Arabidopsis thaliana: one gene and its partner. The protein of the gene in region 1 purifies or fractionates together with the protein of each later gene. This does not show direct contact. Each region holds a gene or a part of one and is shown on either strand. Other genes may lie near its edges. The genes, in order: ERD2 and ARF1.

Evidence for each region.
Region 2: the proteins of ERD2 (region 1) and ARF1 purify together in Arabidopsis thaliana (affinity purification with western blotting, with the first as the bait; one study listed by BioGRID). This does not show direct contact.

The regions. Positions count from the first base shown.
Region 1 is NC_003070.9:10,257,601-10,263,031, reverse strand, and holds ERD2 (ER lumen protein retaining receptor family protein), read left to right. Parts: upstream 1-1,799; 5' UTR 1,800-2,125; coding exon 2,126-2,216; intron 2,217-2,223; exon of another isoform or gene 2,224-2,470; intron 2,471-2,615; coding exon 2,616-2,881; intron 2,882-3,588; coding exon 3,589-3,704; intron 3,705-4,103; coding exon 4,104-4,177; intron 4,178-4,263; coding exon 4,264-4,327; intron 4,328-4,415; coding exon 4,416-4,452; 3' UTR 4,453-4,784; downstream 4,785-5,431. Other genes in the region: AT1G29320 (Transducin/WD40 repeat-like superfamily protein), read right to left, coding at 4,794-5,128, 5,222-5,279, 5,356-5,411. UniProt on the Arabidopsis thaliana protein: Required for the retention of luminal endoplasmic reticulum proteins. Determines the specificity of the luminal ER protein retention system. Also required for normal vesicular traffic through the Golgi. This receptor recognizes H-D-E-L.
Region 2 is NC_003070.9:8,334,929-8,339,628, forward strand, and holds ARF1 (ADP-ribosylation factor 1), read left to right. Parts: upstream 1-1,664; 5' UTR 1,665-1,877; intron 1,878-2,289; 5' UTR 2,290-2,303; coding exon 2,304-2,451; intron 2,452-2,580; coding exon 2,581-2,651; intron 2,652-2,804; coding exon 2,805-2,924; intron 2,925-3,011; coding exon 3,012-3,130; intron 3,131-3,263; coding exon 3,264-3,345; intron 3,346-3,439; coding exon 3,440-3,445; 3' UTR 3,446-3,899; downstream 3,900-4,700. Other genes in the region: CSLA03 (cellulose synthase-like A3), read left to right, coding at 1-44, 128-375, 460-773, 860-1,054, 1,140-1,302. UniProt on the Arabidopsis thaliana protein: GTP-binding protein involved in protein trafficking; may modulate vesicle budding and uncoating within the Golgi apparatus.

The DNA of each region.
Region 1 (5,431 bases):
TTTATAAGTTAACATGAAGTAATAATAGTATATGTTTTAAAATTATACGTTTTTTTGTATGAAATTAAATGTTACATTACACTATTAAAGATTCCAATAATTAAAACACATGTTACAATGAGTAAATTTTATTATCAGACAATAAACATCTCTTTGCTCTAAGAAGAAACCTATGCTAGTGAAGCGTTGACTCTGGAAAGATGCAAGTGCAACGTGTCGCTGAAACATTGAAGGCGCGTGTAGAAAAATGTTAAGCTAAAGGGAAGTTCACTTTCTTTAACCAAGTTTTGCGTTTTGCAAATTACAACTAAAGAATCCACTAAAGCTAACCCAACTAAATTCAAACATTTTTCTATGTGATCAGTTTACCATCAAACTATTTCATATTTTTGCAATGTGTAGTAAAAACTTTCTTTGTTACATTATATGCTTCTTTTATAAGCAAAAATACCATATTACATTACATGTTCATTTCATTTTTGTTTGGTATTTGCGCTTACAATTTACAAAATGATTTTGTTTGATACTATTTACATTTACATGTGAAATTATTGTGTTCATCGTAAAACGTTCAAAATTTCTAAAAATTGTAAGAAATTATTGTAAATGTAAACAAAGTCGGTTTCCTATAAAACCACACGTCTGAACCACCTTAATCATCATCACAACATGAAATTACAAAAGCAGCGACTTTGTCGATTGCCGTAGTTTCATTGTAGCATAGATAATCCCGTCACGTGATGTTATCTATTTTTAACTGTTTCAATGTAGTCAGAAAAGCTATTTGTTTGATTTCAGAACTGTTTGATTAGTGGCCATTGAAAAATTCTATAATCTATAGTCAATAGTCTATACACAATTGAAAATGGTATAGTTGATTTTTTAAAATACGCCATTAAATAAAATTATATATAGAACTTCTCTATAATCGATAAAGTCGAACACTCCAGGCAACAAGCGGACCGACCACGGAGTCTAACGTAAGAGTATTATTAGTGATACTGTAGGTTTTCTTTGACTAACGATAAAGAAAAAACAAACATGTTTAATTTCTCGTGTCCTCTATATTCATGAGTCATGACGTTCATACAATTTATTCTTGTTTTAAATGACGTTCATACATCATTTTCATGGTTGTCTATTAGTTCACTAGAAAAACGAAGTCTTGAACGTTGAAGCGAAGCATTGAATATCATTTTATAATTTTATGGACTAAACTATACATTTCAATCATCTTTGCAAAAAAGAAAAAAAAAAATGAGTTAGATCATAAGGAGTCAGGACAACAGCTAGCACAAAAATCTCAAAATCCTATACTGTTTAACCCAAAACAACCGTAGAACAAATATTATTATACACCCAAAAAAAAAAACATATTTGCAATCACATTAGTTTGTAAACACTTCTATTTCGTTCCATAACCAAAAAAAAAAAAAAAAAAAAATCAACATTCAATTTTTTATTTTAAAACATGTTTGCATATGTTCATGGTATGACATTGGGTATTAATCTATCACAGAGAGCTAAAGCCCATATAAATAATAACAGAAGGCCCATATCTATTAATAACCAACTCTTAACCGGTCCATTCTAACTGTTTTTCTCAAATACAAAACACGTGGATAACACGAGGAATTAAAATTGAAGTTAAACACCACACCATGTCGCGTACGAAGCTGCCACATCACTGTTCTATTAACACGTGGCTTAATATGATGCAATATAGACCCACCGATAGCTGGCGCTTTCTAGTTTACCAAGGTGCGACGTACCAGATAACACCACCTCTCCACTTTTGAAAATTAAAACGCTCTCTTTTGGTAATTATTTAGGGAAACTTCGATAATTAATCGAATAATGAAGGACTAATTTGCAGTTTTAAGGAAATAAGTAAGCACACACGTTAGAGAAGAAAGACCGTTCCAGATTGCCACGTCATCGTCTCCTCTCAACGAGTTTCTGCAAAACCTGAAACGTGCTGCACCTTGCCTCTCTTTCTCTCTCTTCCTTCGTTTCTCTCTCGATTTGAAGAGAGAAAATTCGTTCGATTTCGTTTTCTCTTCTTCTTTTGGATTTTCCCGGAAAATTTTGGAATCGGTGAGTCTCTATCGATTACTGGTCAACCATGAATATCTTTAGATTTGCTGGCGATATGAGTCACTTGATCAGTGTCTTAATCCTTCTTCTCAAAATCTACGCGACGAAATCTTGCGCTGGTGAGTTCTCTCTCTCTCTCTCTCTTTCATGAAATGTGTTGTGTATATTTTGAAGACGAGCTCGTAGACGAAACAATCGCATTTTGCTTTGACCTTTTGTTTTCCTTTCCATAGCTTTCAAATGCAATCTTATTTGAATCCTGTTGAGGTCTATTTATCGATTTCGAGGCGAATCCGAGTTGGTAGATTGAAATTGCAAGTCAAAATAGTTGTGAAATCTCAATCTTCGAAACCACTATGGAATTTCTAAACGAGTGAGATCTCTCACCCCTAAATTGCATTAGGTTTAACGGAAAATTGCTACACGGAATGGAAAATGCTTGTAGATGCTCATGATTTTCTCATAGATTGTGCAGCTCCTAACATTGTTGCTGTTGACTTTTGGATTTTGTTGGCTAGGAATCTCTCTCAAGACTCAAGAGCTCTATGCGCTTGTGTTCTTGACTCGGTACTTGGATCTGTTTACGGATTATGTATCTCTGTACAACAGCATCATGAAGATTGTCTTCATTGCCAGCTCTTTGGCTATCGTTTGGTGTATGCGTAGGCATCCACTTGTGAGGAGGTCATACGATAAGGACCTGGACACATTTCGTCATCAGTATGTTGTGTTAGCGTGTTTTGTACTGGGACTTATCCTGAATGAAAAATTCACAGTTCAAGAGGTATTTTCATATGAATTTCACATTGCTTTTGTGTTTTTAGGTTGTAGAGACTAGGAAAGCGAATACTTGTTGTTAGAAGACATGCATATGTTGTGTAATCTTGTTTTTGGTTTATTTATTCATTTGATTCATTCGGTTCCTTCTTCTTATATCATTTGGATTTGGTAACTATCTTGGCTAGTGTAGAATAGAATATCGTCTATGTAAATGAAACTGAACATAACTCCTTCCAGAACCAATTAGGAGTCCGGCGTTTATAGTTTTATTTTTGCTTGTTTAAACGTTGTACTACCTATGTAGCCTCTCACTCGCTGATTGTTTTGAGAAACTCTTTGAATATCAAACTGTTGCATCGTGAAAGGTTTGTTTGCTTCCATTCATGGAATCTTCTGTGTCCTACCTACCTATGTTCCATAAGGTGCCCCATGGATTAGTGTCATCTGTATCTCGCTGTTACTTTTCTGGCCATTGTGTTCTTTGATTATCTTGTCATAAGAAACTGTAGTGACTCCTTATATGCACTTCACTAAGATCGTTTTCCCTTACTACCTTCATATGTATTTTTCCAGTATATGCTCTTGGTAAAGATCTGATCTTTGCAAACTGCCTTCACTCTTTAAGTATTTTTGCAGCATTGTGGCCTCTCTGTGTTGATAGCCAGAATCATTGTGCAATATGTTAATTCTGTGCATTCCAAACCATTTCAGGTGTTCTGGGCGTTTTCTATCTACTTAGAGGCAGTTGCTATCCTTCCCCAGTTGGTTCTGCTACAAAGAAGTGGGAATGTCGACAATTTGACTGGGCAATATGTTGTCTTTCTCGGGTACGTAATTCTAACCAGACATATGCGTTTGCTCACTTGATCTCCACTGGCTTCTCTGTTGGGTTTGTTTTTAGAATTGGTTTATCTTATATATATACTGTGTCTTTCACTGCTCATGCACTTGTTAACTTGATCAATGAGAATCGCTCTCCAGTGTCATTGTGGTGTTTAAAAATCAGTGCATATTTCTAAAGTCCAGACATTGTTTTCCGTTTAATGTTAATGCGTCTGGAAGCTGAGCTGAACTATATTTTTTTCTATAAAGGAAATCAGACTGCTTTACATCTTGCTATGCATTTGGTTCTGATGCATACCTTTGTGTCCAGTGCACAATATTTCAATGTGCAAAATTGAGTAAGTATTCTGTATGCACTCACATGGGCAATGATTAACATGCAGGGCGTATCGGGGACTCTATATTATCAACTGGATCTATCGCTATTTCACAGAAGATCATTTCACTAGATGGATTGGTAATGTTTCAACAAAGAAGCACTAAATGCATTTTAACCATTTGTTTTTCCTCAATGCTAATGTTTTACGTAAATCCATTTTCCAGCTTGTGTGTCTGGTCTTGTCCAAACAGCTCTCTATGCGGATTTCTTCTACTACTACTACATAAGGTAAAGTAACCTCACCAGTCTGAATAATATTCTCTTTATAGTTACTGATCATGTTACTGACTTTGGATCCTTTTTGATTTTGTTGTAGCTGGAAAACCAACACCAAACTTAAGCTTCCGGCTTGAAAAGAACCCGAATTTTTTTGCAATAGTATCAAAATCCAGGAAGTTACAGCAATGGTGACATTAGAAAAGAAAGACATGGTTAACATTTGGGTCCTCCCTCTTTCTAACAATGAGTTGAAAATTGAATGATGCAGGATTGTTGTTTAAAATGTGTTTTTTTTTTAGTCTTTAATGCACATTGTAACTTTCCCGACGATTTTAGACATTGAGAAGAGGCATCGTTTTATCAAAACTAGTCTTTATAGATAACACACAAACTCTGTTTCTTTTGTGCGAGTGTTTAGTTCAAAACTGTAGCTCAGATCAGAGCCAAGTTAACAATGTGTCTTCAAAACTTAAACCTAGTCTTCTTGATTGTGTTTCACTATCTTGGTCTTCTTCTTGTGCTCTCGTGTCTTCTTGCTTCTTAGCTCGTCTTTCTCTTCACCTTCAGAGACTTTTTCTCTACTGCGTTTCTCTTTCTTTGACTTTTTTGTTTTGACCGGAGCCTTCTCAATCTCGTCTTCATTCTCCTCATCGTCTTCACCCTCAAAGACTATTTCTCTACTGCGTTTCTCTTTCTTTGACTTCTTTCTTTTCACAGGAGCCTTCTCTGTTTCATCATCTTCCTGGTCCATGATCGTCATCTTCTCCTCTGTGGCAGCCTCAGCCACTGTGTTTGCTACAGCTGTCTCTGCTTCAACCATGAATCCAATCATTTTACAAACATACTAACAGAGGAATACAAACATAGATGCGATTTGTGAACGGCATTAGAAAACAAACAAACCTTCTCCAGAAAAGCCCGAGTCGAATACAAGACCTGTAAGATGCTGCTTCAAGAAAACCTGCAATAAAACAATGATATATAAGTAAGACTCAACTTCACCAAAAAAATACTAGTCCAAAGGTTGAAGAGCATACCGCAGAAATGAGCTGGCGTGTCTTAACGTCATAAACACGTAAATATCGGTCCAGCCCTAGACAATTCAATTAAAAG
Region 2 (4,700 bases), 1.9 Mb from region 1:
TCACAACCATGAAATCTCTCTTGTTCAATGCCGTTGGAAGTTTGGTAAAGTCATATCTTTTTTGAAAAATAATAGTTATTATTTTGTTAAGTCAAATTGGCTAATGGAGAGAATGTGTTACATGTAGTGAATGCAAACGAGTGCTTAATGACAAGAATGCAAGAGATGTCACTAAACTACCATTTTGTGGCTGAGCAAGAATCTGGATCTTCAATACATGCTTTCTTTGGATTCAATGGAACCGCGGGTGTATGGAGAATCGCAGCTTTAAACGAAGCTGGAGGATGGAAAGATCGAACAACCGTAGAAGATATGGATTTAGCAGTAAGAGCTTGTCTTCATGGTTGGAAATTTGTCTATGTCCATGACGTCGAGGTACTACTACTATAACCCTTTTAAACTCAAGCAAAACATAACAAGATTTCATTCAAGACATTATTAAGTAATCTAACATTTCAGGTGAAAAATGAATTGCCAAGTACATTCAAAGCATACAGGTTTCAGCAACATAGATGGTCTTGTGGACCAGCTAATCTATGGAGGAAGATGACAATGGAAATCTTACAGAACAAGAAAGTGTCGGCCTGGAAGAAATTGTATCTCATATACAATTTCTTCTTCATAAGGAAGATTGTAGTACACATCTTCACATTTGTCTTCTACTGTCTGATATTACCAACAACTGTGCTATTCCCTGAGCTCCAAGTTCCTAAATGGGCAACTGTTTATTTTCCTACTACAATCACTATCCTTAACGCAATCGCTACACCTCGGTAACAACATCTCTACTGTTCAAGTAAAACTCTGTTTTCTCATTTCCTAGTATGATAAAAAGTTTGACATATATTGTCTACTGCAGATCACTCCATCTTCTTGTCTTTTGGATCTTATTCGAGAATGTAATGTCGATGCATCGCACAAAAGCGACATTCATCGGGTTACTAGAGGCAGGACGGGTTAACGAATGGGTTGTTACTGAAAAATTAGGTGACACTCTCAAGTCTAAGTTAATAGGTAAAGCTACAACTAAGCTTTATACCAGATTTGGACAAAGGTACTCTTAACTTAAAAACACACACACAATTACAATTTTTAAGCATTTTGAAATGTTGTAACTAATTTTAGTTAACATTTTGCAGACTCAACTGGAGAGAACTCGTTGTTGGATTATATATATTCTTCTGCGGATGTTACGATTTCGCATATGGAGGATCATACTTTTATGTTTATCTGTTTTTACAGTCTTGTGCATTTTTTGTTGCTGGAGTTGGTTATATTGGCACATTTGTTCCAACTGTTTAGATTAGACTTTTGTATTTGAGAGCAAATGTGTTTTTGCTATTTGATTAGACCAAATTAGAGATTGGATCTTGGTTACTTAAACCAAGTTAACTCTTCCAATATTCATACTCAAAATGTAATTTTTTAAATGGTGTTATGATCTTAAAATTTGGTTATCGATCATATTCATACGTAACATTTTATGAATTTGTATTTGCCAATTGTGTTCTAGAAAGAAAATTGAGAGAAACATACAAAAAAAACAAGTCAACGTCAATGATTTAAGATGTTGAAAATGACATGGCGGTTTTGGATTGGTTAGATGCAATCCACGGCCAATGACCCATCACGCATGTAAACCGCGTAAGCACAAGGCCCCTCCACGAAAACATTCGTCGAGGGGTATTCTAGGTATTACCGGTGATAATTTATGTGAATTGACGTTTTTATCCTTTGCCTCTATAAAGATCTTCTTCCGTTTTTGCAATTACGGCGTCGCGCATTTAGCGTTGTTTTGAAGCTCTCTCTTTCAAATTCTGTTCGTCTCTCGCGATCTCTCTCTCTCTCTCAGATAGCTCCGAAACTTTCACGCAGAGGTATTATTGATCTAGATCTGAGCTAAGGCATTCTCAATTTTGATTGTTTCAGTGTGTTCTTAGGTTGGGAATTGAATATTCTTGCTTCGATTTAGGATTTTTCTTATGATGATCCGTTGTATCTTTGGGTAATGCTTTGGATTTCGATGTTTTTGGTTGAAAATTCTGATTTCGATCTGCTGCTGCATCGTTTCAAGTCTGGATCTATGAACATTATCTTCGATTTCACCTTTTTCTCGTTGTAATTGCTTCAATTAGATTCTGAATTCCGCAAGATCTATACGATGAGGTTTTGTAAACGTTGTTGCATCTGTTTCGATCTGCGTTATTCTAATGATTTATAGTCAACATTTGGAGTTCTCGCTGGTGATCTCTCTTTATGTGATATTGATACTCTGTTTCTGTGTGTTAGTTAAGTGAAGCAGGATGGGATTGTCATTCGCCAAGCTTTTTAGCAGGCTTTTTGCCAAGAAGGAGATGAGAATTCTGATGGTTGGTCTTGATGCTGCTGGTAAGACCACCATTTTGTACAAGCTCAAGCTCGGAGAGATTGTAACCACCATTCCCACTATTGGTAAGCTTAAACATCATTTCATAATTCAGTGTTTCAAAAGCTTAGTTCCATCAACTTTGTTCATACCATTCATACAAAATTTTGTCTTCCACCTGCCGTGATGATTAAACTACTACAAACTGTGGACAGGGTTCAATGTGGAGACTGTGGAGTACAAGAACATCAGTTTCACAGTGTGGGATGTCGGCGGTCAGGATAAGGTATAAGATTATCCAACTCTAAAGCATTAAGAATTCTTTTTTTTTTGCATCACTACCTGGGGATCTTTTTCCTACTGTGTCTTGGTATTATTGTTGATGAACATAGAATTACACAAACTCACATGTCGCAAAACCTCCACTTCTTGTTGTCAGATCCGTCCCTTGTGGAGGCATTACTTCCAGAACACCCAAGGTCTTATCTTTGTGGTGGACAGCAATGACAGAGACCGTGTTGTTGAGGCTAGAGATGAATTGCACCGAATGTTGAATGAGGTCTGTATCAAGTGTTATATCTTTGCCTGTTGTATTGAATTCTTCATGTTTAGATGATTCAGTAAACTGTTTGTCGGGGTTTTACAGGACGAGCTGCGTGATGCTGTTCTGCTCGTATTTGCTAACAAGCAGGATCTCCCAAATGCTATGAATGCAGCTGAGATCACGGATAAGCTTGGTCTCCACTCTCTCCGTCAGCGTCACTGGTAAATAAAAACATTATAATCTCCCCTGCTTCCCTCATGTTGATTTGTTCTCCTGCACATAACGTTTCTTATGATATAGTTCCAAAGATTTATCACCTCTCTGATTGATTTTATGTCTACGAACTCTCTCCAGGTACATCCAGAGCACATGTGCCACTTCAGGCGAGGGGCTTTACGAAGGTCTTGACTGGTTGTCCAACAACATTGCCGGCAAGGTAAATTATCACAAACAACAATTTTGATTTGTGGATCAGTATTTTGAAGCAAATCGTGATTCTTGTTTCTGTGTTCTTGTTACTGGTTGTGCAGGCGTAGAGGGAAAGTTCGTGGTGGAGTTGATTTGCTGAGCAAATCTGGATGCAGGGGCAAACATTATCTGAATTTTTTTTTTGGTTTCCGTTTTCGTTATTGTTCTGCTTTTTTTTTTGGGATATGTCGATGGATTTTGTGATTGTACGTAGAACTTAGAAAAAAACTACCTTTTATATAGTTTTGGTAAAACTGTAATCGAAGATTTCACCTACTGCTTTCGTGGTTTTGGTCACATTTTACTTGTGCACTTTGATTCATATGTTGGAATGCGGTTTCGTTGGCACCTGCTACACGAAACTTGATGATTTTGCTAGTATTTGTCATATGAATCAAGTAGAGGAAAGCCATGACCAGTAGGCGAAATGCTAGAGTGTGGCAGAAGAGGAATGAGTAGACAATTTAATCATAAATCCACTTGTTTGAAAAAAAAGTTAACATTCAAAATTCTTTGCTGGCATCCTCTAATCCCTTTAATATTTCCAAATTCTCGCACTTTTTGAACACCACATTCATTTTTGTCAGAATATTGCGTTCTTAATTTGTCTAGAATAAGCACACTAAAACTAATAATTATCTTAACAACCATGGAATAACATAAATTATCTGTTTTTCTTTATAATATTTTTGTAGAATTGTAGGTTAATGAAATGTATAAATTGTGATTCTAAGAGTATATATGAATAGTACAATTGTACGGTTGGAACTATTTTGCGGATTACTGTTCAAAATTAATGTGTTTAAAGGTCACTGATTTACTTTCTTATTCTGCCAGCCATTAAGGGAACGTTAATCATCATTTTGACTAGAGTGATAGTTGCAAGGACGATATTAAATACAGTATTTGATAAGCAATTAAGGAAAATAAAAGAAACAGAAACAGAAACAGAAGATTTGAGTTTATTGAAGAAGGAATTTAGAGTGATTGGAGTTTTAATAAGTTTTGAGATGATTTTGGTGAATTTTGGTGAATTAGGAAATTTGTCACTAAAATTTCCTCAAATCTCACCTAAAACCATGAGATTTATATGTTTGAATTTTAAACTAAGAAAATTCCCTATAATCTCACCTAAAGTCACTCAAATCACTTCAAATTATCAAAGATTAATTCATTGGATTTGATTTGTTTTCCAAAATTAAACAAGATACCAATTATTAAAAAATAAAGATCCCGTTGATTTTGGATGTACAACTTTTCCGAACTAGTCGTATATAAATACTAGCTTCTTTGACGTCGACTATAGCAGCTTTTCATTTGATA